Linked DNA regions of Kluyveromyces lactis. The protein of the gene in region 5 interacts with the protein of the main gene of each other region in a biochemical or structural test. Links are inferred from orthologs where the notes say so. Each region holds a gene or a part of one and is shown on either strand. Other genes may lie near its edges.

What was found.
Region 1: the proteins of NYV1 (region 5) and TLG1 form a complex in vitro, tested with the Saccharomyces cerevisiae proteins (2 studies listed by BioGRID). The link is inferred for Kluyveromyces lactis from reciprocal best matches to the Saccharomyces cerevisiae genes NYV1 and TLG1.
Region 2: the proteins of NYV1 (region 5) and BET1 form a complex in vitro, tested with the Saccharomyces cerevisiae proteins (2 studies listed by BioGRID). The link is inferred for Kluyveromyces lactis from reciprocal best matches to the Saccharomyces cerevisiae genes NYV1 and BET1.
Region 3: the proteins of NYV1 (region 5) and VAM3 form a complex in vitro, tested with the Saccharomyces cerevisiae proteins (11 studies listed by BioGRID). The link is inferred for Kluyveromyces lactis from reciprocal best matches to the Saccharomyces cerevisiae genes NYV1 and VAM3.
Region 4: the proteins of NYV1 (region 5) and VTI1 form a complex in vitro, tested with the Saccharomyces cerevisiae proteins (2 studies listed by BioGRID). The link is inferred for Kluyveromyces lactis from reciprocal best matches to the Saccharomyces cerevisiae genes NYV1 and VTI1.

The regions. Positions count from the first base shown.
Region 1 is NC_006041.1:316,519-322,894, forward strand, and holds TLG1 (Tlg1p), read left to right. Parts: upstream 1-3,648; coding exon 3,649-4,344; downstream 4,345-6,376. Other genes in the region: KLLA0_E03477g (uncharacterized protein), read left to right, coding at 198-1,061; mitofusin complex protein UGO1, read left to right, coding at 1,431-2,873; SDC1 (Sdc1p), read right to left, coding at 2,982-3,386; TDA3 (Tda3p), read left to right, coding at 5,459-6,376.
Region 2 is NC_006040.1:1,196,916-1,202,920, reverse strand, and holds BET1 (Bet1p), read right to left. Parts: upstream 2,593-6,005; coding exon 2,149-2,592; downstream 1-2,148. Other genes in the region: protein disulfide isomerase EPS1, read left to right, coding at 1-1,951; iron-sulfur cluster assembly protein CFD1, read left to right, coding at 2,999-3,850; VAB2 (Vab2p), read right to left, coding at 3,875-4,720; YEA4 (Yea4p), read left to right, coding at 5,235-6,005. UniProt on the Saccharomyces cerevisiae protein: SNARE required for targeting and fusion of ER-derived transport vesicles with the Golgi complex.
Region 3 is NC_006039.1:1,126,773-1,133,125, forward strand, and holds VAM3 (SNAP receptor VAM3), read right to left. Parts: upstream 3,037-6,353; coding exon 2,248-3,036; downstream 1-2,247. Other genes in the region: MET4 (Met4p), read left to right, coding at 1-2,096; DNA-directed DNA polymerase alpha catalytic subunit POL1, read left to right, coding at 3,557-6,353. UniProt on the Saccharomyces cerevisiae protein: Required for vacuolar assembly. Provides the t-SNARE function in a late step of the vacuolar assembly. Required for homotypic vacuole membrane fusion, autophagy and fusion of biosynthetic transport vesicles with the vacuole.
Region 4 is NC_006038.1:897,523-903,940, forward strand, and holds VTI1 (v-SNARE protein VTI1), read right to left. Parts: upstream 3,341-6,418; coding exon 2,675-3,340; downstream 1-2,674. Other genes in the region: KLLA0_B10263g (uncharacterized protein), read left to right, coding at 1-2,394; YAH1 (adrenodoxin), read left to right, coding at 4,044-4,544; CIK1 (Cik1p), read left to right, coding at 5,169-6,418. UniProt on the Saccharomyces cerevisiae protein: t-SNARE found in various SNARE complexes involved in multiple transport pathways. The composition of the t-SNARE complexes is specific for a limited number of v-SNAREs and therefore allows only the vesicles carrying the matching v-SNARE to fuse.
Region 5 is NC_006042.1:1,797,208-1,803,545, forward strand, and holds NYV1 (Nyv1p), read right to left. Parts: upstream 3,060-6,338; coding exon 2,364-3,059; downstream 1-2,363. Other genes in the region: TRM1 (tRNA (guanine26-N2)-dimethyltransferase), read right to left, coding at 1-1,035; DPB4 (DNA polymerase epsilon noncatalytic subunit), read left to right, coding at 1,607-2,257; KLLA0_F19470g (uncharacterized protein), read right to left, coding at 3,493-4,998; GIS3 (Gis3p), read right to left, coding at 5,801-6,338. UniProt on the Saccharomyces cerevisiae protein: Vacuolar v-SNARE required for docking. Only involved in homotypic vacuole fusion.

The DNA.
Region 1 (6,376 bases), on a different chromosome or scaffold from region 5:
CCAATGAACTGAAAGTACGGATCAAATAGGAAGTACTACTGGCCTTATAAAGATAACTTAGGGCACACCAAGCCTTGATAGGAGCAGGGGTGTTTGGTATTTGTAGTAAACACAATATTCTATCACTTAAGTTTGTTTTTATTTAAAACTTTCTTTACTGGTCAACTGAAGTTGCTGTCCCTTGACACATTTTACCAATGATTGAGGGAAAGAATAACGTTAAGATCATCCCTCAACCTAGGGTCAGAAACAAGGATGCTGTTGATGAAGATTTGGTAGGAGGGAATATTTACACAATGCCGAACCAAGAAATAGAAGAGATTATTTTGTCTTTGAAAAAGTTATTGGATGGGAACAGAATGGTGCGAGAACGCGTTGATGCAATTGATGATCAAGTGAGAAGGACCCAGATGGATCTTGAGAGTTTAGTGTCAAGAAGTTCAAATAACAATAAACACTTACAAAGTTTGCTTCTTTCTTCGAAGGATATCAAGGAATTGCACGACGTATTGGATAAATTGAGTGTGCAACAGCATGAACAGATGGAAAAGAACCGCGATGTGGAGTCTGTTTTGACGCGGTTAATGGAGAAACAGTCTTTGGAATTAAAATCATCGATGGAAAACGTTGAAATTCAGACATTGGAACAGAAAATTAGTCAATTGGAGGCCAAGTCTGGGAAACTGGAGTCCCTTGATGCTCAGGTCATCGCAAAGGAGAAACAATTGGCAATAATTGAAACAAAATTACAGGAAAGGAAGGAAAGATTTGATGAGCTACGACAAAGGGCGAAAGAAGTACAATCATCTTTACAAGATGATTTACTGACCCGTTACAAGACAGTTCACGATACTATGTCTGTTTCTATGGCGAATTTGGCCAATGGATCTCGCCCAGCGGGAAACACATCACGTGTAGCCAGTTTGCTACGAAATAAATATATGAATGACACATTCAATGGAAATAGACGAGTAATATCGTTAAACGAGCCAAGACCTTCATCGTCTTCTGCATTTGATAGCATACCGCAGAATAACTCTGATTTTGAAGATTCTTCATAAGATTCCATATACAATCGATAAGTAAACGCTATCATCTTATGTGGAAATGCATCTTCACATTGCAGTAGAAGGTTTACTTGATCTGAAGGAAAGGGATCATAAACATAGATTCATAGCTAATAAATTCCTTATGTAACATTAATGATGGATGAACTCATTGATTCCTTTGTCTGGAGATCGAAATATTTTGCTCCCCTTACCTATATAAACGCTTGATTTTCATATTACTTTTCATTCACAGAGAAATAGTGCACTTGAAATTTACAAGGTAAATAAAATAATCAAGTAGCAACTAGTACAACAATAAAAACTGATGGCGAGTTAACAAGGGAGAAAGAACTTCAAAAAGCAACATTCGGAGTGTTGAAAATGGAGGAGATCAAAGATTCATCCATCCTACGTCCGTACTATGATCCAGAGACTTTCAATGTTGGTTATTCAGCAGTATTTCAGAATGACAAAGGTGTCATCGACCAAAACGGTCTGAATATCGCCTCTAAGTTAACAATAGTAAATCAATCGGTGGGCAGCGGCTTGAAGTCGCTTAATAGAAGTTTATCAGGTGGTAACACCTTAACTGAGTTAACCACTGGTCTCAAAAACAAATTTCTTCATGGAATCATGAACTCCAAACACGGTAATAATGCCAAATCCCTTAACGATCTTGAATGGAATGATTTTATCAACGTGAATGTATGGAGACACCTTCTTGAAAGGTTGCTTAGGCAGCTATCCTCAAAATACTTCCAGCATTTAATTCGCCAACCATTCGAAATTGCAAAGTTGCTTTTGCAAGTAGGTGACTTTGATTACCTTACAGATGGCAATAAATCAGCCTACTATAATGATAATGATAATGTTAATGACAACCATGAATTTGAAGATGATGACGATGACGAAGCCGAGCCAAACTTCTTCGTCAATGAGTCACAAGCCAATCTGATTGAAAGAGCAGCAAAGGAGGAACAAGGCGTTGCTGATGAGAATGGTACCTTAATCAAACCTGCAAGCATCCATACCATTGATATTTTAAACAGTATTATGGATAAAGAAGGTATACAGGGTGTATGGAGAGCTAATAATACTGAATTTATTTATAATTTCCTATCCATATCGTTGGATGCATGGTTTACTGGTTTATTATCTCCGCTGATGCAAATTCCAGATCCATATTTTATTGATATCATACACTCACCAGACGTAACGAAATCCGCAAGCTTAATTCTTTTGGCAAGTTGCATGACAAGACTTGTATTATTACCGTTGGATCTCGTCAGAGTTAGGTTAATTATCTCTTCTGTTCGTAACGATGGTTCCCTTTCTGATAACGATAGATCCTTAAGAAAATTGTTGAGAAAATGGTCCTGGAGGGAAAACATATCCAAACTAAATAAGGAATTGGTCTTTTTGAATATATTATATTCCCTGGTAGGGACAGGATTTAGCAAATTAACCGGTGCAATACTATATCATCAGTTCAATGTTGACAAATTCACTAATGTGATTCTGTACAACACATTAAAGTTCTGCAGTAAAGTTTGTGAACTCTTCGTAAAGCTACCAATTGAGAATCTATTGAGAAGGAGTCAAGTGAAGTTCTTGTTCACAGAAAACCCATTCCAAGTACAATCTGAAATGTTAATCATAAAACCAAGGGAGTACCAATCCATCTACCTGACGGTATTCAAGCAGTGCGACAGAATTAGTGAACTATGGCGAGGCTGGAGACTCGGGCTTCTAAGCATTTTATGCGGTTATGGTTTGAAGATTTTAAATAAGCCATCAGAAATACTCGAAGAGGAGAAGTTTTAGTTCATGTAGATATCTATAAGTGAACTGGACATTGAAGGAAAACATACATATATAAAATAATAATAATAATACAGATGTCTTTAGTTTAAGAAAGTCGTAAATTCATATCTACGATGAAGGCTTCTGGTTCATTTCGCTTGCATCAATCAAGAACTGGCCTAATACTCGAAGTGGATCCTCGGGCTTTTCTCTGGCTATCAGTTTCATTCCTTCCAATAAATGTTTTGTTACATGTTCATTCAAATATCTTCTAGTGGTTGACCCACCGATCATCGCTACTGGATCAACACGATCATGATCAATTTGTAGTTCCTTCTTGGGTGATACTTCTCTTTCTGTTGTAGCTGCAGTTGCAGAGGTAACAGTTCCAGATGATTCCCTTGGTATACCCGATGGAGACAGGGGTTCAGTGGTAGAAATCGAAGAGACGCCAATATCCGGTACAATATGTTCTTCTTTCTCAAGTTTTACCACATCTTCAGGTGCCATATTCTCCATCACTGGTTCTGACATGTAGATAAGCTTCAGTTGTGGCAGGAGACCAGGATTGGAGCTTTATTCGGCCAAGTCTAGGTGTAGATCTGTCCATGTATATAGTCAAAACTCAGTGATTTTTCAAGATTGTCAATAATAAAAGGAAAATAATAACAAACTGAAATCTTAAACAAAGTTCACCAAGGCAGGTACAATTCGAGCTCCCCAAGAAACAGACCGCACTGAATCAGGTAATACCAATATTATATCAAAATTAACCACCAAAAGCAAAGAGGACAAAATGGATCCATTTATTCAGGTTTTCAAGGACACAGAGGAACAATTGAACCAATTATTGCAGATATTAGATAGGAAGAAGAAAGGGAGATCGAACACCAGTTCGAAAGAGATCTCGGAAATCATCTCTGAGGCTCAAGAGACTATCCAAGATCTAAATGAGAGTATAGAAATGATGAAACAGGAACAAGCTATTCCCGAATACGAAATTCAGACCCGTGAGAAGTCCATGGCAAACCTGGAATCAAAATTGAAACAATGCCAGTCGTTAAATATCGAGACAACCCGCGACACCGATGCAGCTACCCAATCATCATTGCTGCCGCAGCAACAACAGCGTGGCGATTCCTTCGATTTGGACATCGAGGCAACTGCAGGCACCGACCAATCAGACGCGGCAAACCACGACGCCGTACAGGAGCAATTACTCCGTGAACAAGACAATCAATTGGACATGATTCACCAGACAATGCAAAACATTCATCTACAGGCATCTACAATGGGTCAAGAACTAACAGAACAGGGCATGATTCTCGAAGAAATGGACGGAAATGTCGACGGAGTCATGAACAAACTTTCCAGAGGAAGACGACAACTAGAATGGGTCTACGAACACAACAAAGAACGTGTCAACGACTGCTGCATCTTTCTCTTAATCATTGCATTGATCATCCTACTAGTACTAGCATTCATTTTGTGATGTATATCACCGAATTTGAACCGGGAACCAAACAGAAACCAAAAAAGGAAGAAGACGATGCACATTCCCGAGTAACGAAAGGTGCGAAGTTTCCTAAGAGAAACTGACACAATTCTTGACCCCCCAGTTGACGGATCGTCATCGTCGTCGTTCCATTCCTCTGATAGACAAAATACCTCTCGACACTGTTGCGGTATGGAAAAAAATCGGAAATCACAACATACGACAGCGGCTTTGAAATCGTACCACAATGGAGCTTTCGAACTGATTTTTTTGTTGAAATATATAGAAAGTATGGAAACTGAGAAATGGAAAAGTATTAAGACCAAGTTAGTTTTTAAGGTACAAAAGCAAAAGGTTGCTTGCTGGATTGGGTTTTTTGCACGTCAAGCTACAGTGTCAGATCCAAGACTATCGAAGAGAGCGATTTCATTTAAGAGGCGAAGGGCACTAGGATTAGGACGGAGTTGATAATACTTACTGGCATTCATTCCCGGATTTTCTGTGTCTTGTAATTATCGTTTGTTTCCCGACTTTTTTTTTCTTTCTCTATTTAGGATTTATTCAGGCTCTTTTCTTTAGAATCGTTTTTGAAATTTTTGGCCTGCAAAAACCCTCTATATCTCTTCACTTGATTTAGACTAGCTGAAGGAATCAATACAATATTGGCAGCGGCGTGTGTGATATTTCACTATTTTGTTTAGTCCCCTCTCTAACAATATCCATTGATAGAAATTGAAGTCAAGATTCTTATAGTTTCTGGCTGTTCTCAGGGATAAAATAACAGCACAGTTTTTTTTTGCCTTACTTTATTATATTCCATTTTAATTTTGCATTAGGTACCGTGGGGACTGATTCTTTGCTACTTCTAAATATTCTCTACTAGAGGGGCGAATCATTTGTACAAATTGGTTGATCCAAGCGTTCTGTTTAACCTCATTTTTCACCTATTTTCTCTCTTTTGGTCCAGTTGCGAATAGAAGATTAAAGGTACCCCTTCTTGCTACTGCTTGTTCATTCGGTCGGATTTTAGCACAGATAGAATCTGTATCTTTGAATTGATTAACAGAAAAAGAACCCATATATAGAGACAGAGAGCAGCGCAACGTTCAATATGAGCAACACTGAATTCATCGATAAGTTGGAGTTTGCATCTCAACCCTCGGGAAAATCTGAGGGGAAGCATCACATTGTTATTGTTGGTGCAGGTATCATCGGGGTATGTACTGCTTATTATTTGACAAGACACCCTTCGTTTAGCAAGGATACACATCACATCACCGTTATAGAGTCTAAACGTGTAGCTGGCGGTGCCTCTGGTAAAGCTGGTGGTTTACTAGCGATGTGGGCTTTCCCACAGCAGATTGTCCCACTTTCTTTCCAACTCCATCAAGAATTGAGTGACGAGTATAACGGTGAAACCAAATGGGATTACCGTCGGTTGACCACAGTTTCCCTTGAGGCCAACGTTCAAGATGATACCGTTTCGTTAGATCCAAAAGAAACTGGAAGCAGTGTCAACGATAATAGTAATGACGGCGATGACGACGAAAGTTATGCTAGTAATGATGGAAAGACTACCTCAAGAGCAAAGCCATCGCAGAAAAAGAAATCCAAAAAAGCATGTGCAGTGGTGAACAACGAACCTGTTTCCAGAGTGGGCACCACTGAAGACGACGAAGATTACGAATATAGTTACGGAGAAGATGATGAAGAGGACGAGGCACCTGCATCGGAGTTGGATACAAAATCCTCGATTGCATTATCTAAAGACCCATTACGTCTACCTAGTGATTTGAACTGGATCAAAAAACGGTTGGTGAGAGATTGGTCATCTCTTGGTGGAACTGACTCCACTGCTCAAGTACATCCTTTCAAATTCACTCACTATCTACTGTTGAAGGCAATGGAGACTGGGGCAGTGGATTTAATCCTGGGCAAAGTGTCACAGTTGCATTTCAACGATCAGTGTGCCGCAGCGGGAGTATCGTACATTCCAACAGTTGATGATCCAGAAGAACAACGTTTACAA
Region 2 (6,005 bases), on a different chromosome or scaffold from region 5:
CATCATCGAATTTTTCAGTCCATATTGCCATCATTGTAAGCAGCTAGCCCCAATTTGGGAAAAGACGTACAATGGCTTTTACGATGAATCCTTGCAGCTCAACATATCTCTCCATCAAGTGGATTGTATCGAGTCAGGAGACTTATGTATGAAAGAGGGTATTAATTCATACCCTACCATCAGATTATATGGACCAGAAGGCTTTATCAAGGCATTTCCCAGAGGTTTGGAACGGACTGAAACAACTTTGCTAAATTTTGCAAGAAAGGAAGCTCTGGATGCAGACAATCTGGATATCACTAAACTATCGAGCAAGAGTAAACTGTTGAATGATGGTGAGCTCTTGAAGATTTTATCAGAACCTCAAACTGAACCATACTTTGTCTCATTTTGGCCAACCTCTGATTTTGAAGATATCGAATCTTCTTATCAGTTCAAAAACTGTGAAGACTGTTCGCTTTTTCAACGGATTTGGAAGTTGGTAAGTAACAAGGCTGACTCGATAGGAATCAATACGGTACATTTCAACTGTGTGAATCCGACAGATTCTTCAAAGAATGAAGCCATTTGTAGGGAGTTGTCCTTCGATACTTTGACTCAGAAGAGAAACTCTAGGTTAGAAAGAGCCCCGGAATTTGCATTGATCTTACCTAACCGCAAGAGTGGTAGTTTTATTAAGTTCCCATTTGGTCCAAAGCGTGTCGATAGCGAATCCTTGATTGATTTTGCTACAAGAACTTTACACAACAGTAACGTTCCAAATATTGATCAGGATGAGATCGAAGCTTTTGTAAAAGAACCAAAAAGTGACATTTTGGAAGCAAATGCCGAAGCCGATAAAATATTGCTTGTATTTAATTATAACCCGGAAACTGTTGTCCCTGAGGATATGCAATTTTTGGAACAACTCATTGACCCATTGGGATACATCCCTAATATTTACTTGTACAAGAACACTGACGACCTAAAGAAGTTAAGCCATACTCTCTATCAAACTCTGTACAAAGATTATAATACCGATCAACGCACTGAAATTAATGAGGACCATTTTATCACGACATCCATTACCCAATCACCAACGTTCTTCATATTCAAGAAATCTACGTTTACTCCGATCATATTCCCTGGATATTCAACAACTGAAACCAGAAATTTGGACTTCATCTTGGATTGGCTCACTATAAACTCTCTTCCAACTGTCACTGAGATTACATCCAAAAACTTTGAAGCATTAAAAGGATTTGAACAAGATTTCTATGACAAGTTGGTAATTCAATTGGTTAATAAGAAGAATAATAAGTTTGAAGAAGGTTCAAAGAAAATCGTCGAAGGCCTACGAGTAGCGGCACATAGTTATGAAATATTGCGTAACGAGGCGGTGTACGAAGGTCTTAAGACGGCCAGAGAAGAAAAGAAAAAACTGGTGCAAAAGCTTAAGAACAAAAACGCACCATCCGTTGATATAGTCACTGCCATGAGAAAAGAGATAAATTACAGTTATAATCACAAGGTCATATTTGCCTATTTGGACATTAATGAATCCCCTTCTCTCTTGAATAATAAAGGTCTAAATGTTTACTTCAGGAAGTTCAAGACTGGTGATATCATTGTCGTGGACAAGCAAAAAGCCATCTATTACGAAAAGGATGCTTCTGGACAATACATCACCCTAGAGACGTTGCCCGAAGTCCTCTCCATTCTGAATTTCCCCGCAAGACACCCTGATCTTCGTATTGAACGCATCTTTTTGAGAACTCCACTCAGTGGATTGCTCAGATTAATTGACTACCTCCGCGAATTTAGCGGAATCAATTACTTATTTGTTGTGGTGACATTCTTGGCGTTATGGAAAATACCCAGAACCATTCATCATTATAAACTGAAAAGACGTTACGCTGCAAAACGGGATACTCATGGTATCCTCGGGAAGGAAGCTAAGCTCATGGATTGAGGAACAGGAATTCTTCCTATAAATAATCTTATATTTCAACCTAATACTGATAGTTACGATTTATTAATATATCTTTTTAATGGTACATATAATGCGTGAAGGAATGCGTTTAACCAATACGAATTAGATATACATGCTCGATGGGATACTCTTCAGTACATGACCCTTTTGTGGTTTTTTATTTCGCTCTCGCTCTCTCAACGTATCCAGACGTAGAAGAACAAAAGTGTCAGAACACCAAATATTATGAACCATATTTTTAATGGAATGCGAGAATTCTGAGCCATCACCATCATTCTCTTGAAAGTCCTTTTCAAACGGTTGCTAGTCTGTTCAAAAACGTTTCCTAACTGATCTAAGGTCTGATTGCTACCACGAATCTCATCTCCCATTCGTAGAGATAAATTCTTTAGTGCGTTGATCTTTTCACTCATGGTATTCATTTGTTCATCACTTTGAGACTCGAGCTGCGAAAGTGTTGCTTGAGAATAATCTACCCCTGGGGATGGTCTATCAAACGGCGAACTTGGTCTATCCTGTTGTTGTTTATACTTAGAGAAGTCAGTACCCGCAAACAATTGCGTCCTACTCGCATCTCGCTGTGTCAAATCACCTTGCATTCCACTATAGTTTGAACTCATACCTTAATTATTTCTAGTGCCTCAACAATAAAATACAAAGTGTAGATTTGTCAAGATACTCAGATCTAACCATAGGGAATTAAGTGCAGTTTCACCTTGGAACTTCCTAGTCCATCTGTAAGCTACTACCAAATCGATTCGCTTAACGAAAACTTTTTGTTGAAGTTTAATCACGTGATATTGTCCTCGAAGGTTTCCCCTTCGCTCTGACAAAGGTATCATTATCATCATGAAATCCTAGTTAAGCTAAGAGTTAAATGTATTAGTCAACCTACTGTTTAAACGGCTGAGAAAAGTATTTGCAGTATACCCTTTTATAAGTATTCTGTCCACTGTGAGCATATACAGTCATATCTGCAGTGGCTGGTACGTTTAGTGTCCCAGGATCATAATCAATTGTATCTCGATGTCAGCTGAAACCGAATTATTGGGTATGCCTGAGTCCTTAAAGGACATCAAGCACATTATATTGGTCCTTTCTGGTAAAGGTGGTGTTGGTAAGTCATCTGTCACCACACAGACAGCATTAACTTTATGTTTAAAGGGATACAAAGTGGGTGTTTTAGACATTGATCTAACTGGACCGTCGTTGCCTAGAATGTTTGGTTTAGAAAATAAACAGGTTTATCAGGCTTCTAAGGGTTGGATACCCGTTAGTGTTCCTACGACATCAGGAGGGGAATTGAAACTCATGTCCTTGGGTTTTCTTTTGGATGATAGAGGTAATAGTGTGGTATGGCGTGGTCCTAAGAAAAGTGCTATGATTAAACAATTTATAAAAGATGTGGATTGGGGAGATTTGGACTATTTGATTATCGATACACCGCCCGGAACTTCGGATGAACATATATCTATCGCAGAAGAGTTGAGGTGGGCTGCACCTGATGGTGCTATTATTGTTACCACGCCTCAAGGTGTCGCTACGGCAGACGTGAGAAAGGAAATCAATTTCTGTAAGAAAGTCAACTTCAATATACTCGGTGTCATCGAGAATATGTCCGGATTTATATGTCCTCATTGTGCTGAATGTACAGATATCTTCTCTAGAGGAGGCGGTTTCAAATTAGCCAGCGAATATAACGTTCCGTACCTGGGGAATATTCCAATTGATCCGACGTTTGTCGAGTTGATTGAGAAACAGACTGGGTTCAAAGAGAGCTTAGTTGATCTCTACAAGGATTCTGGATTGTATGTCATTTTCTCAAAGATATTAGATAATGTACTGAACGGTGAAGTAAAAAGTGGAACAGATCAATAATGGGTAAATTTGACATGAAACTTTTCATAAGTCAGCCGATTTGCTCATGCCTCGAGGTCTAGTGAACGGTTCTGTGATACATATATGCTCAAGAGTTGTAGCGATTGATGGCCTTGATGTACTCCGGATTGATGACAGTGCTAATGGCGCCGAGGATATCGACTGACGGTACGATTTGGTGGTGTTTGAGTCCGCTGAATTTCCTTTGGTACTATGATAATCTTTTTTAGCATTATTTTGGCTTCCATTTGTACTTTGCCTCGAATAAGAGCTGTTCAAACTCTCGGAATTAGCTTCGTTCTGTGACTGCCCACTATTGTCCTTATTCGCTTCGGTTTCTGTCGTGTTACTACTCTCTGGGAACCTTTCTTGCAACAGCTTTGAAATTTTGCTGAATTGCGTCGCATCAACTTTTATACTACCGTTTCTAGTTACGTAGTCTAATAATTCTTCATTCACATCTCTGATTATTCGTACCTTCTTATCAATGTCAGAATATTTGCTTTCGAACTGTTTTAACTGTTTATCCGAATCCTTAGTGAATTTTGATCGTAGTTTTACTAACTTAGAAAAGCTAGACTCTAGTTTTTTTACCGAGTGGTTGATCTTGTTATTTACTTCTTTCGTCTGCGATTGTTCTGTATCGATTTCTTCCTGAAGTCTCGAATAAATTATGGCAACATCGTCACTGATTTGATTTACTTCCTTGGCCACATTGGAGAATATATGATCTTGTCTCAATGAAGAGGAAGAGGGAAGCAAAGGCAATGATTGCAACTGTTTAGAATAATCACTCTTTTCAATTGTCGCAAAGTGGAAGCTCTCTCGCTTCCTCAGGTGCTTCGAATCTCCATAGAATAGGAAACTCATCTTATAGCAGTTGGAATCTCAACCTTCAAAGAACCTTAAAGTTATTGATGGCACTGGGTCAGTACAAGTATAAAAATTTTAGCCAATAAATAATGGTTCCTGAGTACACTAATAGTTTAGTTCAACTGAGCCTTTCTCGCTGTTCTTTCTCTGACAAACGTGCCCTTAATACGTTGGTTTAATGCGTGTCTATTTTAAGGTTCGCATTTATGGTTCTTAAACGTTTTTTCATATAAAATTCAGGCAACCTCTTTACAATACATGTCATCATGAAAGAAAGATTGTTTAAGTTGATTTGAAATCGTTCCGGATGTGTAGTCTAGGGGTATTCATGGTTACTGAATTCAATTGGATTGATGAGATTAACTCTATTGGATTCATTTAAAGGTCAATTGATTGCTAGTCCTTTTTTTCCTATTGTCGATTGAGAGAGTTACTATATATATAGAAACCATTCCATGTGTTGAATACCCTTACGTTGACCAATTGATCTCATAATTTCATTTCTTTAGTAATGATAGAAATATTGGCTATTTTATCGTTGTTTGGTGGGTGCTGTTCCAATGTATTGAGTTTAGAAGAACTTTTACTAGATAATAAAGATCGGTTGGGAAATGTGGTCACTTTTACACAGTTTATATTCGTTATCCTAATTGAACTGCCGAAGTTTGTCAGCTTAAAAGGGAGGAAAGTCTCAATAAAACCCTGCAAGATACCGTTCTTTATCCATTCAACGTCAGCGTTGCTCTTTTTCATTGGATCTGTTCTTAATAATAACGTTTTCATGTACAACATTTCAATTCCATTACACATTGTCATCAAATGTTTGAGCACCGTAAACACCATGATTTTCAGTTCAATAATTCTCAAAAAGAGATATCCTTTTGCTCAAATTATAGCAGCACTCATGATGACTTTTGGGGCCATAATTACCTCTGTTTTCAGGTCTACTGAAATTACGTCGTGGCATAACTTTTTGGAAAGCTTTCAATATTCTAACGGGTCAAACAGGCTATTTCTCGGTATATTATTACTTTCATTATCAACGATGGCGATGTCATTACTCGCTGTTCTTAATGAGTATACCTTTCGTAAGTATGGAAGGTTTTGGGAAGAGTCATCGTTTTATTGTCATCTACTCTCAACACCATTGTTTCCAATTTTCACTCGTTTGAATTTGAAGAAGGATCTTCCACTATTGATGGAGTCAAAAGAAACAGTCCTGTTACCGTATACGAACATAAATCTTCCAAGAAAATTATTCATGTTGATTGCCAATAACTTG
Region 3 (6,353 bases), on a different chromosome or scaffold from region 5:
CTGGTAGCAGCAGTAGCGGTGTTGGTGCAAGGAATATGGATAATCATATTCGAAATCCTAATGATAGTCATCCCAGTCAAGGTATGGACAACATTTGGGGGAACAGTCCGGAATTCTCGACACATTCTCCATCTACCGCATCGAATCACTTACATTCGTTGATTAACCCCCCTGCTGATGTGAATAATGATGTTACCCCTAGCATTCTTTTGGAACAACTAGCGTTTGTTGATAATTTTATTACTGATTTTAACTCTGACTTTGGACCCAATGTGACAAATTCTTTTTACAACAATGAGGGACCTCATGGTGACACTGTAAATTCATTTAGTGGGATGCCCTTGAATCATCAAGTTGGTGGTTTAAGTGCAGATAATCAGCTCGCGATGGATGAACGTTTAGCGGCGGAATTGAGTGTTTTCGCAGATGAGACTTTTATTTTCCCAGATGAAGACAAAGCTGATAGACATGATAGCGATGACAACGGCGACCATTACAACAGCAACCATAACTTCGGATTGAACAACAATGCTAATCCTAGTACTAATGATAATAACATCGACAATAACAATAATAATAACAGTGGTAACAATCATAATAGTAATAATAACAATAATAATAATAATAATAATAATAATAATAATAATAACAGAAACTCTTCGGAAAAGAGAAACTTGTTCGATAGAAAATCAAACCTGCTGGGAAACCAGTATGATCATACGCGGCAACGGTTTTCGAGGAAAAGGTCATCGACACAGAATTCTCCGATCCCCGATCATGGAGGATTTACACACTTTGATGTTCAAGACCAATCCAATAGTCATAATACAGGCAACCTAAATGGCACAAGTGCAAACCGCCAACGAGATATGCCGTTTGCCACTTCCCCACTAACAAATTTATTAGCCGCATATGATTTAACTTCAATGTCATATCCGTCCAATACCACTGTATCGTCTGCCTCTTCAATCGTCAACACAGCTAGTAACCATGGTAATAATCATGTCAATAGCAACGAAAATCCGTATCGTCCAAGTACGGCTGCAACATCAGGATTTGAATCAAATATACAGATGCCAGACTACTCTACAATACAAACTGCGACTTTGGTATCATTGTTGCCTATCATTAATGTTCCCAGAGGTGCTTACCAGTCTTTGCGTAATGTTGGCTTTAAACCAGAACAGATTGACGCCATAGCTGCTATTATGGCTTATTATGAAAGAGAAAGAGAAAAGTTTGATCCTCCTGTGAGGAAGCCAACTAATTTAAATAATCACTCTACAAATAGACCACCATCGTCAGCTTCCCATCTGGGCTCATCGATAGATGTGAATTCGCAAAATCAACTGGTTCCTGAACCTCAAGAACATATTCAAAGCTCCGTTGGCATGCTATTGGATTTTTTGCATGAAAAACCTGAGCCATCTCCTCAATCAAGTGTCCATAAACCTAATCCAAAAAGAGCCAAAAAAACTCCAGTGGAAAAAGAGTCTAGAGTTATTGATACATATATGAAAAACTCACCGAAAGTGCACCACGGCTCAATTTCTAACAACATAAAGAAAGAAAGCGAAGAGAATTCTGCAAAGCAAACACTGGATGATGGTATCAGTAAAACACCAAAATCAGTTGTCAGGAAACTAGAATCAGCTTCCTCTCTTAGGAAGGATGTAACGTCTGCTAAATTGAAGGAAGAGGTGAGACAATCGGAAGAACTTCTCAATGACAAGGAAAATGCTGCTAAGAGTCTCGATGAGAAGATAAACGAAAAAAAGCATAATACTGATTCTGATAAAAACAATTCCTCCAGTGATGGTGTAGAATCGTCGTCCACTTCCTCAACCCTTTCTTCAAGACCCAAACTGCCGAACTTGGATCAAACTAAAAAACTTAAAGAGAAAGAAATGGAAACTTGGGTCCAAGATCTTTCACAGTTAGCTTGTGACTTGAAGCAAAGAATCAATACCCTTGAAATGGAAAACAGACTTCTCAAAAATCTTGTCATTGAACGTGGAGATCTCAAGAATGTTGAGTCTTATGAACTATCCAAAAATAACTCCTCCGAAAGCACTAAAAAGGATACTGACAAGTAAGCTATGATTAATAATTAGTTGTAACCTCTAAGTCGGACATATTTACCTGATGATGCGTGTTCTCTAAAACGTAACGTAACTTTCATCCAAGTATAAGGCCAGAGATAAATTTTGTATTAATATATAGTTACATTCCTCGTAGAATCTAACCCTATGATAGAATCGCGATAAGAGTTATTAGAGTGATAACAACAATAGCTACTAGAAGTATTGTACCACATCTGTTCTTTTTCCTTTGATATTCATTTGCTTTGTGAAGTTCTTTGTTCGCCTTTTGCAAATTATTAGATAATCCTGTCACATTTTCGCCAATTGTGTCAACTTGTTCGCCCTGTTCCTGTACCAGACTTCCTAGTTGTTTGAAGATGGCATTGACCTCTTGCACAGCAGAGTGGATTTTTGATATGTCCTGGGATCTTTCATGTTGAATTATCGTGTGAAAATCTAACTCATCCTGATTCAACAAAGGCTCTTGCTGTTGGGTAGACAAAAGTAACGGAGTATCCTCTGAAGAATGATCCCTCCTCTCGATATCGTCTTGTATTGGCATGCTTTCATATTGCGATACGAGATGTTCCGATTCATTATCTTTACTCTCTTCGTCAGGTATGGGATTCTGTACTGCCCTATTCTCATAATCGGTCTTTACACTGTTATATTGTTTGCTTAACGCTTGAAAATCTCGAGCAAATTTATCTTGTGTATCTAGCGAAGTTAAGTCAGCCAGTTTTCGACTAATTTTCTGGATTTCGGGGATTACTCTATTTTTTATATCAACCCTCAATAGTTGTCCGTCCTTGCTTGTCCCTATTAGATGAGCTTTACGCTTGAGTAATTGAATATTCTGTTCTAGTGTTATCAACAAAGGCACCGCATCGTTTCCACTAGAATCTGCACGATTGTCCTCCTTTTTTGGAGTACTATTTTGATAAAAGGACATCAGATGTAACGCGATTATCTTTACGGGTCCTGCTATCAGCTGTTTCCTTAACAGTTATCCTTCCCTTCAGTTAATGATCACAAACCTCAATTTGAGCACTTTAAAATTGAGGACAGTCTTAAACCACAGGTCATGTGATCCATTTTTCTTTCCAAGCCAACGCCAATTGGTTCAACTAATGGAAATTCGTATCATAATATTGAGGAGCGCACACTCTCTAACACTTCAGCGGCTTCACCGTTTAACCACTCAAGTGTTGTCGGTATTCTACTGTCACTCAATCTTTCGCTCGCTTTTCTTCTCATGCACTCTCGCTTTGTCTCAGCGTTGGTGCCATTAAGTTCATAGATTTCGAACGCGTGCTTTGCAGATAGATACAACTTTAAAAAAAAAAAGAACGCGTAAAAGTAAGAACATCTTCATCATCTTCTTCTTGCAACTCAAACCAGGAAAGACAACAAAACTAAATTACTAGGGTAGTTCGTACTGCCACCCTACACTATTAAAACACTAGCTCGGGATGAGTAATGCGAACAAACTTGAACTGCTCAAAAAATTGCAGAAAGCTAGGAATAATAAATCGAATAGGGATGTGCTAGATGAACAACTGGAAGAAGAAAATGTGTATGACTTGATTGACGAGGATCAATATAGGAGTAAGAAAAGACAAGAGTTGTTAAGAGATGATTTTGTTGAAGATGATGATGGCAGTGGATATGTGGATCGTGGTGTAGATGAATGGGATCAAAGTCAGGAGTTCTACTCTGATGAAGACGATGGTGTTGATGCAAAGTCAGGCAAAAAGCGTAATAAGACCAGTAAGAATAACAAAGGTAAGGATACCATCAGCGATATCATAAAGCAACAAAATGTCAAGAGAAAAATGACAATGCCAACAGAAAAACCTAAGAAAGTGTCACTTGCTGAATTTGATGATATTTTGAGTGAATTTGACGCAGAGCCTCTGGTTAAGAAGCCGAAGCTAACGATATCCAGAAAACAACCTGCAAATACTACGCCTATGAACTATAAACACCCTCAGGTAGATACATCCCCACTTAAAGGTAAAGATGTTGTACCTTTTAAAGCTGATAGCGTTAATCCTATCGATTGTGATTCAATGGAAGAGGACCACGATATTGAATCATTATTAAACGATGTGGCTAGTTCTCCTTCAATGAGCAAGCAGAAGACATATCAAAGCGAAGATGACAGTGAAGATGACGAAGATGATATTCACTTTGGTAGAAAAAAATTCAAATCAATAGCTACTCAAAGGCAGATGAATATCAGCGCTCAAACAGCACCATTAACGTCTTCGCCAACATATGTCACTGCTCCTAACACCCCATTGTCAACTTCTACAGGGTCCACACAAGCAACAGAATCAATTTCCGGATCACTGAGACAAAGAATACCTAAAGAGGATGTAGTAGACGCTGAGACCGGTAGTTTTAACTTTTTTTGGACTGATTTTACCGAAGTCAACTCTTCTTTGATTCTCTTTGGTAAAGTTAAAACGAGAAAGAATCAAGTAGTCTCTGCAATGGCGCAAATCAATGGTTTCAATAGAGAGCTGTATTTTCTACCTAAGGAGGGTAAAACAGCGTCTGATGTCCACCAAGAAATTGTACCTCTATTATTGGATAAATATGGCTTACAATCACTTCGCGCTAAGCCTGAAACGAAAAAGTATGCCTTTGAACTTCCAGGAATACCACACGAAGCGGAGTATTTGAAGGTTTTGTTACCTTATGATACTCCTAAATGCAAGTCAATTACTATTCCCGCTGAACTTGAGGGAGATACATTCAGTCACGTCTTCGGTGGTAACCAAAACCTTTTTGAGAGTTTTGTTGTCCAAAGGAAAATCATGGGCCCTTGCTGGCTTAAGATATCAGATGGCGATTTTGATGCAGTTCAAGGCGCTTCGCATTGTGCTATTGAGGTTCAAATTGATTCACCTAATCATATCTCAGCAACGAATGAAAAATCATCTCCGAGCTTGAACTGTATATCATTGTCTATTCAGACCGTCATGAATGCAAAAGAAAACAAGCAGGAAATTGTTGCTATAAGTATGGCTGTCTTCAAAAATTTATCTCAAGATTCATCAATTCCACAAAATCTCAAACCAAATGAAATAGTGACACTAGTAAGGCCTCCACAAGGATCAACTTTTCCACCTCTTCTGGGACCTAAATCAAAGAAAGAATTATCCGGAAATGTGCGTCTCTTCAATAACGAAAAGACGTTATTAAACTGTTTCTGTGCTCTCTTGAAGGTAAATGATCCTGATGTTATAATAGGACATAGATTGGAAGGTGTCATCTTGGATGTTCTGGCACACAGAGCTTATGAGTTAAATATTCCTCAATTTAGTGTCTTTGGGAGAAGACTGCGGAAAGCATGGCCAGACAAGTTTGGAAAACATAATAATAGTATGACACAGTTCATAGTTAGGGATTTATTTGCAGGTAGGTTGTTATGTGACATTTCCAATGAAATGGGTCAGTCACTAACTCCAAAATGTCAAAATTGGGAACTAAACGAAATGTATCAAGTTTCCTGCGGTATTGAAAGAAAATCTCTCGAAATTAATTACCTAAACCCAATATATCAGGAAGATGAATCCCAGATGCTTCTAGCGCTAGGCGAAAACATCGAAAACTCCATTATAACAGCAGAAGTTGCATTCCGCATTCAAATTCTCTCTTTAACCAAACAACTGACTAATTTAGCAGGCAATGGATGGAGACAGACTTTGGGTGGTACAAGAGCTGGTAGAAATGAATATATTTTGCTTCATGAATTTAACAGAAATGATTACATTGTTCCTGATAAAGAAACAAGGCAAATGAAGCAAGACAGACAACAAAAGAATGAAGATCCTATGGAGCCACAAGTGTCCAGTAAAAAATCAAAATATCAGGGTGGGTTGGTCTTTGAACCAGAAAAAGGTTTGCATAAAAACTATATCTTGGTCATGGATTTCAATTCGTTGTACCCATCTATCATTCAAGAGTTTAATATTTGCTTCACTACTGTTGACAGGAATCCACAGGATAATGAAGAACTTCCAGATGTGCCTTCAAGAGAAAAATCACGAGGTGTACTGCCAAGATTATTGGCCAACCTGGTCCAAAGACGTAGAGAAGTGAAAAATCTAATGAAGACTGAAAATGACGCAAGTAAAAAAGCCCAATATGATATCAGGCAGCAAGCTTTGAAGCTTACGGCAAATTCTATGTATGGTTGTTTGGGTTATGTGAACAGTAGATTTTATGCTAAACCGTTAGCAATGTTAGTTACAAATA
Region 4 (6,418 bases), on a different chromosome or scaffold from region 5:
CAAGGTATCCTAGATGTGGAACCGGAGTTGTTGTTCACAGAAAACGAATCGAATTGGAAGAAATTGTTTGATTCAAAGGAAAACCCCACCCCTTATACCAAGGATGCCTTCAACGAATATATCGTCAATAAGGATACCGAGGCAGTAAATCCGAAGAATGAAGGTACCAAGGCATGTGGTGTTTACCACTTTCCCAAGGTTCCCCCTGGTGAATACGTCACTGTAAGATATAAGTTGACTGATACCAGGTTACCGATGTTCGAAGATGAAATGGTTATCGACGAAGATGACTTTGACAGTCTTTTCGATAGGCGTGAACAGGAAGCGGATAACTTCTACTGGAGAGTCACTCCGGCTCCGATCCCAGAATCTCTGAGAGCGGTGCAAAGACAAGCTTTTGCCGGATTGCTTTGGTCAAAACAATTCTATCATTTCGTGCAAGACGAATGGTACTGCGGTGATCCACTGCAAAAGCCTCCTCCACCAAAGAACCGTGCAAATGGGAGAAACAAGGATTGGAAACATATGTATGCTGAAGATATATTATCCTTGCCAGATAAGTGGGAATATCCATTCTTTGCTTCTTGGGACACCGCGTTTCATTGTATCCCATTAGCTATGATAGACCCTGAATTTGCAAAGAAACAATTGGATATTTTTACGAGAGAATGGTACATGCATCCTAACGGACAAATTCCTGCTTATGAATGGAATTTTAGTGATGTAAATCCTCCAGTTCATGCATGGGCTGTGTACCGTGTTTTCAAGATTGAAAGAAATATGTATGGCCGTGAGGATAGAGTGTTCTTGGAAAGAGTATTCCAAAAACTTTTGTTGAACTTCACATGGTGGGTTAACCGCAAAGATCATGACGGTAACAACGTCTTTGAAGGTGGATTTTTAGGATTGGATAATATTGGTATCTTCAATAGATCAGAACCTTTGCCAACAGGTGGAACATTGGAACAGGCAGACTCGACTGGTTGGATGGCATTCTTCTCATTGCAAATGTTAAATATCGCATTAGAACTTGCAAAGGAAAATCCTGTCTATGAAGACATTGCCACTAAGTTTTTCGAACACTTTTTGTACATCAGTGATTCTATGTCCTTCAAATTCGAAAAGAATAGTGCAGACAACTTCAAAGAGGAAGTCAAAGAAAGTTTGTGGAATGAAGAAGACCAATTCTATTACGATGCCATTTCTTGGGGTGAACCATTTAAGCAACAACTACCAATCAGGTCTCTCGTTGGTTTAATTCCATTGTATGCTTGTATGACTTTGGAACCGAGAATCTTAGATAAGTTCCCTGGCTTTAAGAAACGTATTGACTGGTTCCTTTCCAATAGAAGTGCCATGTTTGATAGAAATATTGCTTCTATGGAAAAAAGAGGTATCGGTGAGAGACTTCTATTAGCTCTTGTTAATGAAGATCGGTTAAAAGCCATCTTATCTAGGATGCTCGATGAAACTGAGTTCTTATCCGATTACGGTATAAGATCTCTATCTAAATACCATGAAACCCACCCATTCTCTATGTCCGTTAACGGTGAACAATACGAAGTCAAATATTTACCAGGTGAATCAAACTCAGGTATGTTTGGTGGTAACTCCAATTGGAGAGGGCCTGTTTGGTTCCCTACAAATTTCTTGCTTGTCGAGTCATTGCAAAGGTTTTTTTTGTACTATGGTCCTGACTTCAAAGTCGAGTGTCCAACGGGGTCTGGCGAGTTCCTAAACTTGGCCCAAGTGGCAGAAGAACTTCAGCATAGATTAATTCATTTATTCATCCCCGATGCCGAAGGCCAAAGAGCTGTATATCATGGTGAATACAGTGAGTTTTTGTCTAAGGATCCTAATTTCGAGGAACTAATTCCTTTCTATGAATATTTCGACGGTGATACTGGTAGGGGCTTGGGTGCAAGCCATCAGTGTGGCTGGACTGCGCTAGTGGCTAAATGGATTCATGACACAGGTTTATCATGTGTCAGGTTGCCTAGAACTCCTAGATCATCTGTCACTCTGTCCAATTTAGACAAAACTCAAGTCGATTCATTGTTAAACGAATTAAAGCCTAACATGCCACGTAAAATTGCAAGGCGTAAGAGTTCCAAGTCGTTAATTAACTTAACAGCTACGCAACTTGAGTTGACAGAAGAGGAGAAATATCTACATTGTATTGGTAGCACAAGACGTGAATCTGCAAAACTTGCTCAGCGCTCCGGAAGCATCATCAGTAGCGAAGAAGACGATGAAGAAGGTGTGACCTTCGAGAAACTGAAACAGAACCAGTTAGCCGAAGAAGAATCACGTCTAGTAAATGAATTAAGGAGGCGTCTATCTCATACCACTATCAATTCAGCTGATGAAGATGAATTAGAATGTCTTCCATGAACAGCGCTATGCTATTCTGACCGGCCTTTTTCCATCACTATTACTATCATTATCATTATTATTTTTATTATTATTATTTCTTATATCGTTCTTATTTTATATACAACTAGATAAGTATTCAAAATCAGATATCATTTATACACGGTAAATTGTATTCTTCTCATGAGAGTATAAAATTATACCACAAGGGTCAAAATTAAAATTATATAAATTCATTACTATAGCTATTCTGCTTAAACTTGCATTGAGACTGAACTAAAAGACGCAGAGAAATCGATTACTATTTGAATTTGGAGAATATCACTAACAAGATAAGTAGTATCAAAACCGCTATTATTGCGTAAGAAATGAACTTATTGGCTATGAGTCTTCTAGTCATGGTTTTCAAAGTGCGAATACTCTTGTCGACGTACGAATCAGCATGGAACAAAGTTTGTCTTGCATTCTCCAATGTTTCTCTTTGAGATCTCAAATCCATCATTATCTGTGCACCAACGTTCTCAGTCTCGGATGCCAGTCTTGTAGCATCCTGTAATTTATCACCAGAACGTTGTAAAAGCGCATGGTTCGATAAAAGCTGTTGCCTTTGTTCATCATTATCGAAGTGGCGACCTTCAAGTAACTTATTCCTATCGCTTTCTTGCACCAATTGCTTTAAAGGATCCTTAATTTCATTCTGACACTGTCTCTTATAATCTCTGATCTTTGCTTTATAAGATGCCCTTGTCTTAGAATCCAACGAGTTCCCTGTATTATTCAACTCTATTTCCATTTGATCCACTAATTCTAAAGATTCATCATGGTACTGTTGAATTTGTAAAAGTATATCCGATTTTCCACCTTTTAAAACAGCACCGGCATCATTCTTAGCATTAGCAAGCAAAACCTTCGCCTGGTTTATAGCGACTTGACATTCAGATTCATAGTTCTGCAATAATGAGGACATCCTGATAAAATAATATGGTTCAGAACCTTCCTTTTTATATTATCTCTTCCCGAATTTCACAACCTAAAGGAAATTTAAGGTTTGAATGTAAACTTGCAGGCCAATGTACGTCTGAAGTAGGCCCCGTTACCAGCTATAACAGCTTAATCACCAGGCCTGCTTTTCGTTGATTCCTAACATTAACTTGAACTCATGGGAGAAGCTTCAATAAAGGGAATAGAAAGAAAAAGAAAGAAAAATACATTGTTCACGTGACTTTGATTGAGTCATGTAAAGACCAGTATCTAGATAAGGGCAAACAATCATTTTGAACCACATCCGCCAAATCCGCGGAAGACCGAGGTGGAATCAGGCCCAGAAACGGTCTGTTTTTTTTGTCTTTGGTTTCATTTCATACCGGCGTTTTCATGAACACTGACAAATTGGGAAAAATCCGATGAGATTCAATAATTGAATGATTAACAATAAGCATTTGCCAATTTCGATGTGAACTGAAGGGAGAACTAGATATAAAGCAACCTTTTTTTGCCAAATAAAAGCTACTTAAGAATCAGAGTTGATAAAAGTTCAGGACAGCTTTTTTTCTCATTGTGGTATAGCAGACGGAAAGGGTCTTTGGTTTCCTTTTAGTAACACTTATCGTTGTTGTTTGTGAATTATTTTTAATCATCCATATCTATTTGGAAAAACTCCTGTATAATCAATGATCAGAGGAATATTGACTAGACAAGCTGGGCATCTGAACCAGTTAAGAGCCAGAAGCATTACTTCTCCTAGCATCTCTCACAACATATGGTTAGCCCGTACAAATTTGTCATGGAAGAGATACCATGGACATTTACATAAACCGAAACCGGGAGAAGAGTTGCATGTGACATTCATATTGAAGGATGGAACACAAAAGACTTTTGAAGTGGCAGAAGGGGACTCTCTCTTGGATATAGCTCAAGGCCATAATCTAGATATGGAGGGTGCCTGTGGTGGTTCTTGTGCTTGTTCGACCTGTCACGTGATTGTGGACCCAGACTATTACGACGCATTAGAAGAACCTGACGATGATGAAAATGATATGTTGGATTTGGCTTACGGGTTAACTGAGACAAGTAGATTGGGATGTTGCATTAAAATGAATAAGGATATCGATGGTATCAGAGTCGCTCTTCCTTCAATGACAAGAAATGTTTCATCTTCAGACTTCGAATAGAGAGAATGACTAAACTGAATTCAGTCATCATATGAAAAGAGACAGCTTTAGATCTTTCTTTTTTTCCCAACAGGGGAAGCATGACATGAGTGACACCAGTTGCATTACCTGTAAATAGGAGCAATCAACCAAGCTCGTTCGCAGTCCATTATCATTATTATTATTTATCATGCATCAGTAAAAGTTTCCCCACGCTGTGTACCGGTGCTATCTATGCACAATACATACATAGTTAAAGGTATTTTACTGTTACCCGGTTACCATATCGTCTTTCACATAAAGAAAAGATATATTTGTTGTCCACGTGACTTTCAAATGACATTTTACGTATTCATCGCTTTTTTTGTAAACATAAACAAATAGACTGTATGAGAAAAGCTTGAAACATCAACAGTTGTTCAGAACAGGTTTTGGGTTCGGTTTCAGGTGTGTCTCACCTGTGTATCACTGATTTCAAATTGGGCCGTGCGTTTGTTACTGTAACTACCGAGATAACGGGCGCCTTAATTTTCTTCTTTTTATTCAATTACCTGATTTTAAGGTAGGCATTATATTACGATTGCGGCGACAATCCTGATCAGAGCTTGTCAAGTCAATGCTATTGATGAACAGTGACCTTTTGTTATGAATGAGACTCGAATTCCATCTATAAATTCAAGAAAACGGCAGAAGCCGTTTTCTTCAGGTTCTGTGTCTGGACAGAAGAAGCATCATCCTGTGCTAGCAAATATAACGAATATGGTGACCACTACAGGAACAACGACAGTAGCTAACAGTAGCGGTTCGAAGAAGGAGCAATTTGCTCCTTCATATCAAACGAAGAGTCAAAGTACGAATATGAGACTATTGAACAAATATTTTTATGGGGATCCCAACGTTATTGAGGAGGTTAAGAAAAGAGAGAGAAAAGCTTTAAAAGATATTCACTTGTTTACTAAACAGATTGAGGAAACGGATTCTCGGTTGGAATCCCTTACTTCTGAGGTTATCCCGCAGCTCAAATACAATTTGAACAAAAGATCCATCATTTTCAAGCACTTGAAACAAGAGACCATGGTGATGCAGGAACAATTATATCAGTTGAAGAACGATTGTGAGCTAAAGAAGAAAAACCATGAGCTGATAACTAACAACTTGAATTTAGAGCATTCTATAAATATACAAGAAGTGATAAATCAATGGCAGCTGAAAATATCTGATAAAAGACACATCTGGGAACTTGAGTTACAAAAATTAAAACAAACTAAACCTGATCCGGCTGTCCTTAAAGAAATCGAAGAGTTAAGCACAGATAAAGCGATCATAGAGAATGATTTAAAAGATTTGAAACGTAAAAACCATGAACAAATTCAATCATATGAGAATGAATTAAAATTACGATTGGAAAAGTTCAAAGAAGATAAAAAGGAACCGCTGATAGCATCCATAGAAGAAAACAAAAAACTAAAGATTAAGATAAATGATCTGAAGGCAACTCAGGAAGCACTACGAGATAAAATTCGAAATAGTGTTGATACTGAACTTTCCTTACAAGAAATTATTAAAAATAAAAGATTGGAGCTACAAACGTTAGAAGCTTCATTGGAGCCGGTAGAGGAGAAACTTAACCAACTTCAATTGAGATATAAATCAGAGAAAGATACCACTGATGAAGTTAAAGCCAAAGCTAAATTAGCAGAAGCGGAATACAATAAAAATTATGATAGAATGGAACAAGAGCAATCGCAAAGAAGAATCCTGGAAAACACAATAGATGAGTTGGATGGTCACATTCGTTGTTTTGCATATCTTAATTACGACGAACTTAATGACTATGCAGTAGACTATATGAACAAATGTATTATCGGAGATACAGATGTGTTTTACTTTAGCAG
Region 5 (6,338 bases):
CTTCTTAGTTGTCCTTTCTTGTTGTCTGCCTAGAGGCTGTGTGTGGTAAGCATTACAGCCAGAACACATATATCCGACCATGGTATTCGACTGCAAGTTTTTGACTTCAATTGGGCTTGTTTTGACTCTAATGAAAACTCTGACGTAGAAATCGATACTTAACGAAAGAAGTGGTTCAATAGTCTTTTTATACTTTGCAGCTGATTGTCCTAAAAGGTTTAAAACTAGCCTCAATGCACTTTCATGAGTAGCATCGTGACCTGCCATATTAACACCACTGTACAATGCAAAACATTTTTCGGGGTATCCGTTACCAGCCAAGACCGATAGATCTGTACATGTAACCAGCATCAATCCACCATCTTCGATGGATTGCATTGATGCATCGACGAAAGGAGTAACGGTACCATATGGATCCAAATCAATTACATGGTATTTCTCATTTTTGCTTTTGTTTCTGTACATCAGCACATTTGCATCATCCAAATTGGGTACAACTTTATCCGAGACCTCATTATAGATGACATTTCTCTTTATGGATTCCACTGCCTCTGGTAGTAAATCGTTGGCTACAATAGTCTTCACATTAGGAACCTCCTTAGAATATCTTATAGCACGTAGCCCGGTTGCACTCAATGCTTCCAAAATTTTGATGTACGGCCTGGTAGAATGATCTTTTGAAGACACAGCTACAGAGTCTTGATCTTCGTTTAATTTACGCCTTTTGATAGTATCGTAATCGGAACCATCTTCATTGCTCTCTATGGGTTTCCTTTTCTTGTTCTTGCTCTTCAGTTCACGGCTTTCACGTTGTTCCTCTTGATACAGTTCATCCCATGCTTTGATACAAGTGACACTCAAATCTCTATTGAACTGCTGGATTGGATTATAGAACACAGTTTCCTTGTTAGGAAATAATATCTTAGCATCACCCTCTTGCACCACCTTGAACTGAGAAACATCGATCGTTGAGCTATCCAACGTTACTTTTCTGCCAAATTTTGACTTCAAACTTTGAAAGGCAGCCCTGAGCATATTGCAAGTTTAAATTCTTACTTTTCTTTATATGGTTTTGCTTTCCCTCCTAAAACAAACCAGCTGAAAACGCTTACTTGGCCTTTGACACACACCTCAGCGATTATTTACTAGGCCTGAGGATCAAGCTATATATCTTATCTTAAGTTGATTTCTGCGAGAAGAGATGTGATGAGATGCGATGCCCATGACTGAAAAAATTGAAAAGTTGGAAACTAGGCTGTAAAGATGTAAAAAGTATGGGAATCTATGTCACGTGATTTAATCTTTCTATTGTTTATTTGGCACGTACGATTAAGTACCTCAAGACGAAATGCATATGGTACACATGGTTCAGTATCGATATTAATCGAGGATATGATGACTAGTTCGAAGCAGACTATTAGCTGTTACTACTTCTATCTACTTTTTTTTAGCTTTCATTACTGTTCTCTTGGTGGAAGTAATATCATTATGCTTATAGTGAAATTTGTGCGTTTGCATTAAGATTTATTACCACTAATGATTCAAGAAAATAAGAACCATCAAATGAAAGAATTCACAAAACTCTAAGAGGCAAACAAGCGCGGGTATGCCACCAAAAGGTTGGAGAAAGGATTCTGAAGGAAATTATCCTAATACGTCTTATATAAAAGAACAAGAAAAGATCAGTATTGATGATTTACTATTTCCTAAAAGCATAATCACATCTCTAGCGAAGGAATCACTTCAGAACGCGTTTCAAAAGGGCGAAGAAGAGAGAAGAATCACGGTTAGTAAGGATGCTGCATTGGCAATGCAGAGGTCAGCGACAGTCTTTGTCAATCACTTATTAATGTTTGCTAGAATGAACGCAAAGGATTCTAATAGAAAGAGTTGTAATGATCAGGATATCATGGCTGCTTTAGATACGTTGGGGCTAGGTGCTTTGGAGAGCATACTCACGGGAAAGATGCAGGAGTACCAGGAAGCCATACTTTGGAAGAAGCAAAATAAAGTCAATAATGCTGTGCCTGGTGCGGACGGAGACATAGCAATGGAAGATGATGAAGATGATGAAGATGACGATGGCAGAGAAGGCGCAGATGCTGACGCCGAGCCTAAATCCAGAGCTGATACTGAGGTTCAACAAGGTAACGCTGAAAATGATAAATTAGATGGGCCTCCAGTCAACCAAGAACAAGTACCTAGCACGCGCCAGAACGACCTGGATTTAAGCACAAAAAAACAGAAGACGGAATGATCGTATAATCGATTTGTGGAGAAGAGGTGGCAAGAAGTATAAGTACTATAAACAATTATACCGTTTTCGTGTGCTCATGGGTTACCTATACTTAAAAAAAATAGAACTAATGTAGTAATAATAACGACACAATCACAATAATCGCCAGTACAACTATAATGACAATGGAATAAAACTTAACGTTATTCCACCACATTTTTCTCATAATCTTAGAGGATTTCCTTTGAAATTTAAAACTATTTTCGTTCAATTGATTAGTATTATCCACAAGCAGGGATATCCTTTCCTGTCTCTGTAAAAACTTATCGATATTATCATTCATTATTGCAATAATGTTTTGTAGCTCTTCCTCAGTGGATGCAGCTGTCTGCTGTCCTTCCGTGCGATAAGATAATAATTCTTCATGGAATTTGTCCAATTGATTATCGATATTACTCTTCAAATATTCATCGTTGTCATTATTCAAACATTTTAGTTCTGATAATAACCTCAACGGTAGGAATTTGGGGACTTCTTCTTTAACAAAACAAATGAGCACTTTATTGTTCTCTGCAGTTGTATAATAGCAATCATACCCCTCTATAAGGTCGATAGACGTCTTTGTAACTTTGTTTCCCGGAAGATTCACCACTGTTCGTATTACCATATCGCCGATTAACCTGTGAAACACTGCTTTTTGATCGGCTCTCCCTTTATCAGTGCTTCCATATTTACTATTGTTTTCGTCCTTGGAGTCGTACCAGCTAGAAAGAACTCGATCTCCATCCCAAACTTCAACATATGACACACTATACCGCTTCATTGTTGTAATAATTCACCACTACTAACAGGCAATTAATCCTGAGAGTCCTTTCACAGTTTCCTTGCAACCCTTCTACCAGATGTAGCTGGTAAACATGGAAATTTGTCAGTTTTCATATTTTCAACATTCTCCAAAGGATATCATAACAGAATCAGAACCGAGACAAAATCTCTACCTCCGGCAGAAAGAAGAAAAAATGTCAGCTGAAGCCTACGGTATAGTTGTGATAACTTAATAGTCTTCTCATTTTTGATTGAAGCTGCTGATACCTAATTCACTTTTGAAGTACAGAATTATTCATATTTATATCTATTTGACATGTCTATAAATCTATCAAAGATAATGTCGATAATGACATATTCCAATGACAAATATGTATGCGTAAGTTCCTTTGTGATATTAGTATAATTGAACTATACTTACCCTCGATAACTTATGGTACAAAGGTTGGAATTTGTACGCAGGACTTAGAATCTTCTGGCCATTTGAGATACCCACTTTCCAAAAGTTCATCCAGAGTTTTGGCCTTTGTACCGGTAGCTTTGTAATAAGCGACATATCCTTCTTTTATAGCGTTGATGGCTGACCTAGCTCTAATCTGATCTCCTTTCCATTCAACACCAAAATAACCACCATTACCAGCATGTCTAATCTCACGATTTAATCGTTGAGAGTATTGGACGTCCCATGGGAATGCCAAATCATGATACTTACTTCCATCGCCACTTTTCTCGATGAACCAATCATGGTACTTCTGTTGAAGTTCCTCCGATGGAAGTTGGATTCTTCCTGACCATACTCTGCTCAACCAAGCACCTTGGGTCTCGGATAGTCTTGTAGGAAGAACAAACCTTGGTAGGCCAATAATACCGAATGTTGGCAATGATATTGGAAGAATATGGTTGTACAGGTTTTGTACTCGTCTACCATCACCAATTAAGTTGTTGAGAATGGAATTTCCGACACCAGATTCATTCTGTGGTAAAAATGGTAGGGACTTTAAGTAACCAGTACAGAAAATCACTTTTTCCACATTCTTTAATTCGGTGCCGTCAACGAAGGTAATCGATTTTGTTGACGGATTAAACTCTCTAATATCAGGCACATCTTTAATGAAAGGATCGAATGGGGCCGGTAATTTGGATTCGGATCTCTTCGACTTATAAATAGGCTTCTGTAGTTCGTTAGCCAATTCAAATGCTAAGTCTGCACCAGAAGCACTGTTACCAACAATCAAAATCTCCCCTTCTACACCATGGAAATCTTCTGGACAGTCAAAATCCTTGGCATGGGAAACGGAGCATGGGTATTTCACGTTCCATTCTTTTAAACCTGGTCTTGAAGGAATAAATGGTAGATCATAAAATCCAGTAGCAACGGCAACGGCATCGAACTTCTCCTCTGTAATTTCCTTACTGAGAAGGTTCTGAGCTTTGACAGAATATTCAGCTGTTGCGTCTTCGTAAGAAACTTTCACAATTTCTGAGTTGAAAGTAACATATTTTTCAATGGGTTTGGAATATTTCATAATATAATCAAGCACTTGTTCTCTCACAGGGAATAATGGGGTGTCTGTTGGAAATCTGTGACCTTTGTACTCCATCAATGTCTTAGGAACATTGGTATCTAGATATTTATAAACTGCTGTTTGGAACACATGTGTTTCTTCAGGGTGTGGTTGAGGTTGAATTCTAATGTGAGGGTATTCACAAGGAACAGACGGCGACGATGTGACATTAGAGTCCTTCAGTAAAGGTTTTGTATAGTTCCATAGACCACCAAAATTGGATCTCTTCTCAAAAACTTTGACAGATTCGAAATGTTTCTCATTCAGCAAGGCTTTTGTTAAACCTGATCCAACTGGACCAGCTCCGATGACTGCAACGCGGCGAATTTTATCAGGATTCACTTTTATTAATCTAATTTGAGTAGGTCTCATTTTTTATAGTGATTGCGCGCCCTCGTAACAGACTTTCGTAAATCCAGTGTTAATCTTTGGAAGGTTGACAATTTCTCAGCTGCCTGGTCAGAAATTGTATTTAATTGGCTTGTAGCCTATGTATTGTAAGTGCCACTTTTTTTAAAACTGGATACTGCGATCTGAAAGGATGAGTTTGGCAGTTAATTATAATGTTAGGAAACTTTCGAAATCTGTCTCCGATATATCGATATAGGGGAGTTCCTTGATTGAAGCTGCTAGATTTATCTCATCCCAATCTCTTGTTATATACGTTTATGCTCTTTAGACCATCATGTTTTTTCATTCGATGAACGGACTTTGGCTGAATCAAGTAGTTTAAAAATCCGTTGTGGCTTTATCACGTGACTAAAATCACTGCATATAGACACCGTGAACCAACTCACTGCTAGAACTGTGTGGGGTGTGTGTTGAAGCTTTAGAAGATGGTGTTATCTGATCAATATCTAGATGAGATCTTAGAGATACTGTAGTTATCATGTGATGGTTTTTGTGGACATGAGGGACCTACTGTGTCTTATTAATCCATAAAAGATCGTAAGTTCCTAATACATTGGGTACTAAAGTCATAGCATCATTATTAATTGATAAGTTGCTCGAGTACATCTCGAATAGGAAAGTGAAGTGGTGGGAAGAATAAATATCTATGTCTATATCTATATATGCATATATGGTTGTATAATGGTATCGGTGATAGGAAGGTAAATGCTTTTTTTTGTTGTTTTTTTTTTGTTTATCTATGTTGCATATTATCAGCTCGAGTTCATGCAAATCTACAGTCACACCAACCTTTCACCACGTATTGAATCTCCTTGGAATTAGCGTTTTTTCCAAGGGAAATTCTGCCACATGGTTTGAACATAGTTGGTTGTGACATTTCTGGTTGTGACCAAGGTTTCACCTCGGAGTTCAATCTCACGAGTGACGTAGTTTCCTTTGTATTTTCATCTTCTTCGATATCTGATGAAGAAGAATCACGTACAGTTGTTGCCTTGACGAATTTCAAGTTTGCTGGTGCATGCTCACCGTGAAGATCTGTCCTCGTAACCTGGCACATGTCTGACCAAAGCTTCTTTCTTGTTATTAGTGCTAATTTGATTTGATGTGGTGATATCCTGTTGGATGGATCTGCTGGAATGTTCAACTGAGAAATTTCTTGGATTGAAAGCCGTTGTAGAATGGACTCATCTAAGTTGAGGTCAGGCAATAAATTTTTCTGTTTCATACTAGTTTCTAATGCATACAGTCGTAAAAAGGATGGATTTAGCGTCTGTTGGCGAGTTCTCTTTTGCGTTATGGGA